2 linked regions of the Caenorhabditis elegans genome follow. The protein of the gene in region 2 interacts with the protein of the main gene of each other region in a pairwise test. Each region holds a gene or a part of one and is shown on either strand. Other genes may lie near its edges.

The links. Proteins that work in one complex are often made in the same cells at the same time.
Region 1: the proteins of nhr-34 (region 2) and atfs-1 interact in a two-hybrid assay, tested with the Caenorhabditis elegans proteins (one large-scale study listed by BioGRID).

Annotation. Positions count from the first base shown.
Region 1 is NC_003283.11:14,192,543-14,198,240, reverse strand, and holds atfs-1 (Stress activated transcription factor atfs-1), read right to left. Parts: upstream 3,796-5,698; 5' UTR 3,759-3,795; coding exon 3,663-3,758; intron 3,609-3,662; coding exon 3,538-3,608; intron 3,489-3,537; coding exon 3,113-3,488; intron 2,027-3,112; coding exon 1,955-2,026; intron 1,909-1,954; coding exon of another isoform or gene 1,903-1,908; coding exon 1,822-1,902; intron 1,689-1,821; coding exon 1,036-1,688; intron 938-1,035; coding exon 820-937; 3' UTR 549-819; downstream 1-548. UniProt on the Caenorhabditis elegans protein: Acts as a transcription factor during mitochondrial stress by activating the mitochondrial unfolded protein response (mtUPR).
Region 2 is NC_003282.8:9,669,641-9,674,487, forward strand, and holds the start of nhr-34 (Nuclear hormone receptor family member nhr-34), read right to left. Parts: upstream 3,031-4,847; 5' UTR 3,022-3,030; coding exon 2,927-3,021; intron 1-2,926. UniProt on the Caenorhabditis elegans protein: Orphan nuclear receptor.

The sequences.
Region 1 (5,698 bases), on a different chromosome or scaffold from region 2:
GAGTAGAACTATTTAGAAGAAGAAGGTATTTCTAATTAGAAGAAGTAGACATATTTAGAAGAAAAATGCGCTTATATTTAGAAAAGAGTAGACCTATTTAGAACAAAAAGGTACTTCTAATTAGAAGAAGTAGACCTATTTAGTTATAAAAAGCTCTGCTATTTAGATGAAAAAGCATTTCTAATTATGTCGTGTTAGGAGCTAGCGCCATTTCTAAATATATCTGCTTTTTTCTTCTAAATAGAAGCGAAAACGTTTATCTGAGTGGTAAATTCAAAATAAGAATTCGCAAAAATAGAACAAAATTCTGCATTTCTAGCAAAAAACTGTAAAAGCTTTTCCTCGGGGAGTACACGAGCTGCGTAATTCGACACAGGAACAATGTTCAACCTTGATATCAAACCACATTTTTCTTAAAAGTTTACCGTCTCATGGCGATGATATTACATCGTGCAGCAGTGATGTTTGTGTAAAAATGTTACACAACTGCGTCACGAACACAAGAAAAATCATTGAAATGTTTTGACATTTGTGAAACAATTTTTAAAAAAATTATCATTCATTTTGAGTTGATTTTCTGATTGAGATGTGAGCAGTTTAGATTTGAGGAGTTGAAATTGGATGGGAAATTTGGGATCGAATACCCGTAACAAAAATACAAGAAATGGGCAGTTTTTGAGAGAAAAAAAAGATGGGGGAAAGGTTCTATGAAAAATGATCTACAGTTGGGTGAACAAAGGGAGAAAAACTATGTAACCAAAAAAAAAGTTAGCAAAACTGAAAAGAACAGAAAAAAAGAACAATTGTTTCGAATTCTGATTATTGAATAATGGCGCCCATTTTACGAAGCTCCTTTTTCATCGAGTTGATCTCACGCTTTAGTTGACGTTCTTTTTGAAGAAGAATTCGATTACGATCAGCTACTTCTTGGAACTCCCTGCAAAAATATTAAATTTTAGATATCTATCTGCTTTAAATTTTTAAAATTTAAAATTATATTTTTCAAGATTGCAAGTTTAAAATAAATATTCTTACATTTTTCTTCCCTTCTTCTCGGCTCGTTTCTTCTCTCTATACCGAACTGCTGCTATTCTATTCAACATTCGTCTTCGATCGGTTTCCTCGTCGACTGAAGGCTTCAGAACAACTCCACGTTTCTTAAACTTCTGATGTTCTTCTGGAAAATAGTCATCGGAAGCTGGCGTCCACGAACGTTCAGAATCACGACGCCGAAGATAAGTTGGCGTAGCAGATTTCCGATTGAGACGTGAACTTGTTCTTCTGGCTTCAGATGCTGGAATATAGTCTTCATCGTCATCATCTCTCTGCTGGATAAAGTCGTCGAAAACGTCTTCTTGTTTCGGAACACAAAGAAGAGGTCCAGAAGAGAAAAGATCAACATCATGGTGCATTCTGACAGGTGCTCGATGTTCTTGCTGCATTGGAGCTGATGGAGTTGACAGTCTCAAAAGATTCGACGCTGATGATGAAGAGCTCAGGTTGAAGCTGGGAAAGTGAGATGATGGTGGTGGAATCATCGGATCATAGAGGCTTATTCCAGAATCTGGAGATGAAGTTGACGAAGTCATCAACGAATCGGATGACGTCATTATCATGGGTTCTTCCTTGAAAAATGCTTCTGGACGCTTAAAAACGTCGTCGTCGCTCTCCAAGTAGTGATTCCATGCCTAAAAAATTTAAATTATTAATGATTTTCATTTAAAATTAATTTTTAAAGGTCACTAATATTTTGAACACTCCAAGAAAAAACGAAAAAGTGTTAAGTGTAATATTAGCAAGAAATTATTTTCCAAGTCATACCTCCCAATCGACAGCTTTCGATTCTTGCTCAATGTCCATTTCGAACTTTGACAATTTTCGATCTTGTGGTGGCATTCCGTACTGAAACTATTTCAATCATAGAATCAGTTCTTGGATTAGGGGAAAAAGATACCTCATCTATTCGGGAAGTTCCCGTTAGCTGATCGATCGCCGATTTTGATGGTGATTGGAAGAGCGGGGAGCCCTGAAAAGAGAGCAGATTAGCATGCGGGAAAGTGGGTGGTGTGATGTTATTTTTTTGTATTTTTTATGTTATAATTCAGGGTTTTTGCTTTATTAGGATCAAAATGCATGCTGTCGAAAACCCGGATTTTCATACCGAGAATTTTCAAAATTTTCGCTAAAATGACCAAATTTTAGCTTAAAGGTGGAGTAGAGTCGAAATTTTTTGCTTTAAATGACAGAAAATAGACCCTAATAACCGAATATAACTGTAAAAAAATTCAAAAAAAATTTCTAAATTTTTTGAGATTTTTTCAATTTTTCAAAAATCAAAGAAACGGTCGAATTGAATTCCCGCGCAAATGAATGTCGCCATTTTTTATATTTTCGTGTTTTCTGGCTAAATTCGTCGGTTTTTCTTAATTTTTTCTTTTACATTTGATCTCAAAAAAAGCACCGTTTGCCAATTTTTCGAACATTTTTCCGTGAAGATAACTTGATAACCGAAAAAGTGTCTGAAAAATTGAAAAACGTTGTTTCAAATCAAATATAAAAGAAAAACTTAATAAAAACCGGTAAATTCAGCCAGAAAACACGAAAATATCAAAAATAACGTCACTAATTTGAGCGGGAATTCAAATTTAATTCGGCCGTTTTTTTGATTTTTGAAAAATTGAAAAAAAAACTATTAAAAAATTTTAGAAAATTTTTAAAAATAAAAAATTTTTGGACTTTACTGCACCTTTAATTCTCCAATTTTGTTAACTTCCAGCAGCCGGAAATTAATTTTAATTTTCCTTTGATTATTGTCTTATTTTTAATGTTTCTCGTGTTTTTTTTGTGTTGATTTCGGCTTTAAATGCACATAAATCAACCAAAAAAAAAAGAAAAACTAATTTTAGGCGGCTTAAAGTTGGCAAAATTGGAGATTTCAGCTAAATTTGATTTTTTTTCGAAAATTTTAAAAACTCTCGTTATGAAAGGTCTTTTTGGGGGATTTTTAGTCGGCAATGCGAAAAAGATTCGATTAGAAACACACAAATCGAAATTAATGGTTAGTTTTTGTTGTATAAATCTGCACAATGGTTAAGAACTATTTTTCCCGTACCATATTATCTCCAAAATTGGAGAAATCATGCATTGTTTCTGTTGTACTTGAATGCGTGGGCGGCTGCTGACATGTCTGCTGTTGTTGCTGATGACCATGTGGATGTCCAACACTGCTACCATTCTGCCATGAGTCGGTCGGTCGCCATGCTTCCAGCTCAAAACAATCAGTTGATTTTCCCAATCTAGGATCTCTGCCGCAAACCGTCACGTTTTTTCCCTCCCAGAACTGATCGAGTTCCAGCTCGTCTGATGGTGCAGGACACGGAGCCCGAGGCTTAGTGTGCCATGAGTCGAGGTCCAGTAGCTCGAGCTCTTTGATGACTTCATCGTCGTCCATGGGTACGCCGAGGAATGGATCATTTCCGAAGCTGGTCCTGTAAGCTTATATTTTTCTTGATTTGAATTTTTTCGCGCAATTCTCACGTTCTATGCCTCACTGAATCGGAGAAGCTGTGCGCAAAACTGGTCAGCTGGTCATTGATCGGTGCGGTTACCTGAAAAACATTTTTCATGTCAAAAATAATATTTTTCTGCAACAAAAAGCAAACCTTCAACGGCTGCTGATAGATGTTATCTCTGCGGAACGGACAATTTGACACAGCCTGGGCACCAAAAGTTGTGAGACGTCCCACACGGGAAAACATTTTGATGGTACTGTTTCAGATGGAATGAAGAGTTTGGCTGAAAAAGGAAAAATAGGTTAGAATATTGAGAAATATGGAAGTGGTATGAGGTCAGAATGAGGGATATATGTGTAAAGCATATCATATTTCATATATCAGATGACAAAAGGCGAAAGGAGGCGGTTTCTATTAAAATTGGAGATATTTTAAAATATTTTAAACGATGGAATTTAAAAAGAAACTGATATTTTTGAAATATTTCAAAAGAAAAATTAATTAAATTTGTGGGTTTTTGGGTCCTGAAACGACTGAAAAATCCCATAAATTTGTATAAATAACTATTATCGAATGTTTTGGGTGTTTGTATCACGTTAAATCTTTGATTCAGACACAAGTTTTAAGGCATTAAAAAAATCAACAAAATTCAGATTTTAACGAAAATTTGTTTTTTTTTTTCGAAATTTTGACTCGCCATAAAAATTGTTGGATTTTTTCAAGAAGTCTCGTCATAAAATTAGGTTGTTTCTGGCAGTTTCACTGTATTTGAACCAAAAATCCTTTTTTTGCAGCGAACCATTATGGGGATTTCTAAACATTGATTTTTGCAAGAAAAATCTATAAAAACTGATGAAAATCGAAAGAAAATTCAAAATTGCATAGAAAAGCCTAGAAGCTTCCATCATGCAAATTGCATCATGACTCACATTGGCAGTGCTCTATACCACCATTGGACCGAAAAAGTAGTGTAATTAAGATTTAATAATCGATTTCTACACCATAGACAATTCACAATTGACCGTCGAACCAACCACATCGCACAAAAAAAAAGATTTTGATAAGGTGAACAAGTGAGTGAGAGAGAGAAAGTGCGTCTGTCGCAGAGGAGAGATAGAGAAGAGACGCAGACGGAGAGACAGTCGGGAACATTGGGCAAGAAGCGGAGAATGGCAGAGAACGTGATGGAGAGGAGGAGTCTAACGGGCGGTCGTAGAGGTTCTGAAGGAGGTTTCAATGGATTGCACAAAGGTGAAGAAGCTGGAGGTTCTAAAAAAGAGCAAAGACAAACGAATTTGTGTGCGACGATTTTGTGTTCTGTGCTCGAATTTTATGAAAATCGTTTTACACTTTTCGAAAAGATAATAAATAAATATTTGAACTGTTCTCTGCGACCAAAATTTTTGCAAAATTCAAGGATCTATAAATTAATTTCAGTAATACATAGTTTCATATGATAAAATTTCATGACATTTTTTCTTCAAAAAATAACTTTGCAAGCAAAACACAAATTTTACAAAGAAAAAACCCCCAAACAAAGGGAAAACTGAGAAAAAAATGCGGAAACAATAAAAAAAATAAACTTCCATGCATACTTTTACAGTATCCTTAAAGGCGCATGGACGTTTTGAAACTCGCGCGTCAAGACCCACCTTTAAAAATCGTTGACAATCCTTTAGACCGTTACGGTACTTTGCTTTTTTGTCCTTTTATTATTTTTAATAAATATTTATTACAATTGTTTTTCAATGTGAAAATTTATTGGAAAACTAGCAACAAAAAACCGAAAGACATAAATATTTATAAAATGTATATATTAACACTGAAAGAAAACAAATAAACCTTCAATCACCTTGTTTTTTCGAAATTAAAAAATTCATCAGTAAAGTTTATGACAAATGTGTCATTCGAGATATTGCAAATTGTTTGTTTGTCACTCTTGTAATCTGGATTGAAGAACTTTGCCATTTGAACAGGATTAAAGTTATGAGTAAACTTGAGGCTTTCCAAGTTTTCAGATTTTTTGATAATTTAAAAAAGATACCAATTAAATTGAAGAAGAAGCAATAACTCAGTATAATAACTCAAGAAACAATAACAGCTATAGCTCTCGTGTCGATTTATGGGCTCGAATTCGGCATAAAATGAATTTATTTTCGAATAGAGACATCGATATTCCATTTTTA
Region 2 (4,847 bases):
CAAAAATAAGTGTATGAAAAATCAAGAATTTGCAAAAATTACATTCAAGAATTAATTTTAAAAAACGGAAGACAAACCAGATTGAATTTAAAACTCGAAACAGAAGTTTGAAATTAACGAAAGATTTAAAATTCAGTTTTGTTAGTTCTGATGCAGTGAGTTGAAATTTCACAATTTGGGGTAGAGTTCAAAAAATTTCAATAAGATGTGAACAATCAGGGGCAGTTCCCGTAGAACGTCTTAAAAATACACATATAATATTTCAATTAATTGTGTATTTTTAAAAAGTTTGAAGTAACTCAAAAACTGAAATTCAAAAGTGAGAATATCAACAGGAATGGGACACAAGTTGACCTCGTGTCTGCGATGTCTCTACCGCTTTTCTCGCACCGTTTTCGTTTCCTTTTTCAACGCGCATACCGAAAAAATGTTTCGTCTCGATCCTGCGCGAGTTCAAACGTTCAAAATCAGCGTCACACAACTACATCGATTCAAACGAGAGAGGATTCAAAAATCAGAGACGCAGACAGTCCTAGAGAATCCTAGAGAAAATAGATGAGCTAGTGAGTGTCACGTGACGAAGAGATTCAGATGTGCAAGGCGATTTTTGTATGGGGAGAAAAACGGGTAGCAGTACCCACCGATATAGAGTTGAGATTAGACAACTAGATGATCAAACTATGATATAATATTCATAGAATATGTTCTTTTTTTTTAACTTGTAACTTTCTACAGAGATTGACGACACAACTGTAAATAGTTCTCAATTTGGAAATAGATTTCTAACAATATAGGATCAGAAAGTTACTGATGTGGGGAATTGCATTAAAAATTAAGTAGCTAGCAGAGAAATCTTGATAAAATAAATTTGAATGTGACCAAAAAATGAATGCAGTATAAATAATTACATTTAAATGTGTCAAAATTGAAAAAAAAACATTGGAAGGCGTGAAAAAACTGTAATTCTGATTATTTTGAGAAGGTTAAAGTTGCATATTAAATCTAAAAATATTTTTAAAAATTAAAAGAAAATCAAACAATCATTGGAAAAAACCATTTCTTGGTCTACTACACTAACAGAATAGTTCAAATTTTAGGGATAGAATTAAGGGAATTTTCGAGATTTTAAAAGTTTGAGTAAAATTTTATCACATTTTTAATAGTACAAATTAAATCAAAAATACAATTTCCACTAAAAACGAAAGAAAAAATTTCTCAAAATCAATTTCTGAAGACTATGGCTATTCCGTATCACAAAAGCTCCTTGTTACAGTGAAAAAAGTGTAGTCTGACAATTGAAACAAGAAACAGTTCCCTGCAACCAAATATAGTCAAAAACGATATTGAAACAGTGAGTGAGAGAGATTGAAAGCGAGGCAAAAAAAGAGTTGAAGACCAACATAAAATACACATAATCAGTGTAAAACTCACTGTCTTTCATCATCTCTTTTACTCTTTTTCCCTAGCGTTTCAACTGAAAAATGGAAACTTTTCGTCCTTTTCCCTCTCAATTCTGCCGACGGTTTGTTTGTACAAAGGGCGGCGAGAGAAGTATCAACGTGGATACGCAGAGAAAGGAGTGGATCGAAAGATCAAATTGAGTGTGAATTGAGTAGAGAGACACCACGTGGCACTACTGACCCGATGGTCAACAAGACGCTCGGATCTTTGGTCTTATAGTTAGCAACCAGAGAAGAATGTTTTACATTTTTATAGGATTGAAGTGGGAATTGACATTCAAAAACCCTCCGACTAATCCGTTATTTACTGGAAAAAGAGTGACGATGTTGAAAGGTACAGTTTGCACCGAATTCAGAATAAAATGAGAAAATCGTGTCGATAGGGTCAGGAATGGACAAGAATGATATCATCGGGCGAAGAATCGATAGTCGATTGACGCCATCCGATCAATTGGTAGAGGCAAAGGACTGGTTGTGATTTATGGAAGTTACAGGCAAATGGATAGATGGACAAAAATCGAACTTATTTAATTTAGTCCGATGTCTATGATTTCCAAAATTTTTGAACTAATTCCAAAATACAACTTGAACTTTTTGGAAGCATTTTTTAATCCTGTGCCATGAGTTCACGATTATTCAGCGTATGAAATTCCAGCTTAACTTCTAGAAATCGTGGAAGCATCTAGTTTTAGTGGTTCGTCAAAACTGTTTTTCTACAGAAAATAAACAAATGAACGTTCATGCCGTCAAGTCAGTCTTACCGCCGAATTTACACGTGTTTCTGCGCTGAAAAATAAAAAATACACTATTTCAAAGTTAAAATTTGCAGCAGTATCTGGAAAACATGTCACTTTTTCTTGAAAAAAGGTTTTTTTTATATTTACAAAGCAAACAAAAAAACATATATGACACACCTGAAAACATTGGCAGATCCGAAAATCTATTGATATAATGCAAAACAAAGAAGGCCTGTCAAATTGATGCAATGTGACTTCACTAGACTCTTTTTAAACTCTTGATCAAATAAAACTTGCAAATCAGAATATACTACAGTCTACTCAAATTATTTTTACTAAAAATTCATTTAATCAATTAGCGGATATATTGCTGGTAATATCAGTTTAATACTGATAAGAGTGAACTTGCAAAGCAGGCAGACAGCTTCTAAAATCTGTCAATTTTGAATGAACTGCCGACAATCGAACTTTCAATACTGTGTTTTTATAAGTTACTGTTAAAAGTCTTTAATTGAAAACCCCTCAAATAGATTAGTTCTTATTTAAAAAATAAAACAATCACGATCATCTCTTTTTTTTTCTTGTTATCATTTTTCTCCGAAAAGATCTCAAAATAAGTGATTATCATGTTTAGTTGTCTTCCTAACCGTATCTTCATTTTTCATAATTTCTATCATATTATCTTCTTCCTTTTTCTTTGATCTATTCCTTTTTTCTTCATTCTCCCACCTTTTATCAATACATTCTTGCACGTCTTCATTCCCAGTTTCACACCCAAAACGATCAGACATCCAAGATATATTGAAAATACAGTAATCCGTCATGCTAGGTGCCTGCAAAAGCGTTACATCACGTGGTCTTTCGATGACCCTGTATGACAGAGAAAAATGGGAGAAATTGATGAAATTCTGATGATGATGGTGGATAATATTATCGAATGTGGGATAGGAAAAAGAGTACAAAATACGTTATTTTTCATGAAAACTATTAGGAAAACTGGAACAACTGTTTGATCAAGTTACAGATAATACGGCAAGAAAAAATGTGACAAAGTCGTCAAAACTTACAATTAGATTCAGCAATATTTTCTAAATTTTGTAATAATCACTGTGAGCTCTAGGTGTTTTTTTCAGTTTTGCCGAACCTATGTTCAAGAATTCTCAACTACGATTTTTCAACAAAAAAATAATTTTTTGGGAAAAGCAGGGCACAGTGTTGAGTGCACCAATTTTTTTGTAGGACTCTTGATTACAGAACTGAAAAAATGCTTACAATTATAAAATTAAAAAAGGCTTTAACTGCAAATTGTAAATTGTGGAATGTAACCTTTTGAATTTCTTATTCGGTATGCATAAAAACATGTCAGGCGTACAAAATTTTGAAAATTGGCTGAACGGATGAAAATGAAAAAGCTTACTAGTCAGAACATAAATTGTATGGAGCACGATTTTATTCATTTTCAGTCGCGTCCCGTCGGCTCTGTATTTATAACAGGTATGTATGTCGGTTAAATTTTAAAAAATTAAGTGAAAGTTTGCATTATTCATAATTGATGTCACGTGAAGCAGTTGAAAAGGTGAGAAGGTCATGCGAAACCGGATCGCTTGATTAGAGTAAGAGTACGGCAAACTTTCATTAAGAAGTTTTGATTGCTGACAGTACAAAGTAGTAGTTTTAAAAATTGAATGTTATAAAAAGTACAATTTTCAAAATGTAGTTATTCGTAATCAGTTGCAAAGAGAATTCTATAAAATAAATTACTAAAACTTGCCCAGAAATGAAAAAAACATGGGAATAAACGTAGCATTTATACCACACAAACTATATTAAATATCAATTTCAAAAATGTTCATTGATCCAAAAAGAATCAGAAGAACAAAACAAAATACACATTTTCTCTTCTGACCTGACTTCACTTTAGTCAAAATCTCTGGCAGGGGAATTCGAAAGATCAGTTGGCGTAGACCAGCTTCTGACATATTCCTACAATCAGAATAGCTCTCTGCCCTCCTCTCCCGATAATCAGCTGTTATTGCACAGATTATCTTTTGCTCTTTTTACGTACTTCAAGCACGTAGCAGCATATTGAGATTATTCAAGTAGAGTAGAGACGATCATTTGATCTTCTCATATTTCTCGCCCCTTTTTCATCTGAAACCAACAAGTTCTGATTTGATGTGGTGGTCAAGAAGACTAGAGTTTGGCAAGCGTGCGCGCAAAGCAAAAGGAGGAGGACAAAGTGTTTTCTTTTGAATATATACGAAAAACAGAAAATGCGGAAAAAAGATCAAAAGATGGAGCAGTGATCTCTGCACCACCGAAACACAACACACTTTTTGCACACACACACGCATTGAGGGTGGTTAAAACGACGTAGATAAGGTTTCGAATATTAGACAAAAGGTATGGCGACTAGATGCGAGAGTCAGATTACAATATGACTTTCCAAAGAATTCATCACATAAATAAGAAGGTAATTTGTCTGACCTTTTTGTATTGGTGTATTGCTCTTGTGCCCTAATTTCTCAAATTTTCTACCTTCGCCATTGCAACCTACGCCTGCCTGTGCCTATATAGGCATCTATACTCTTAGTTTACTGCCAAAGCACACGCAAACCTCACTTTCAGCTTCATTCTAAAAACGTTTAGT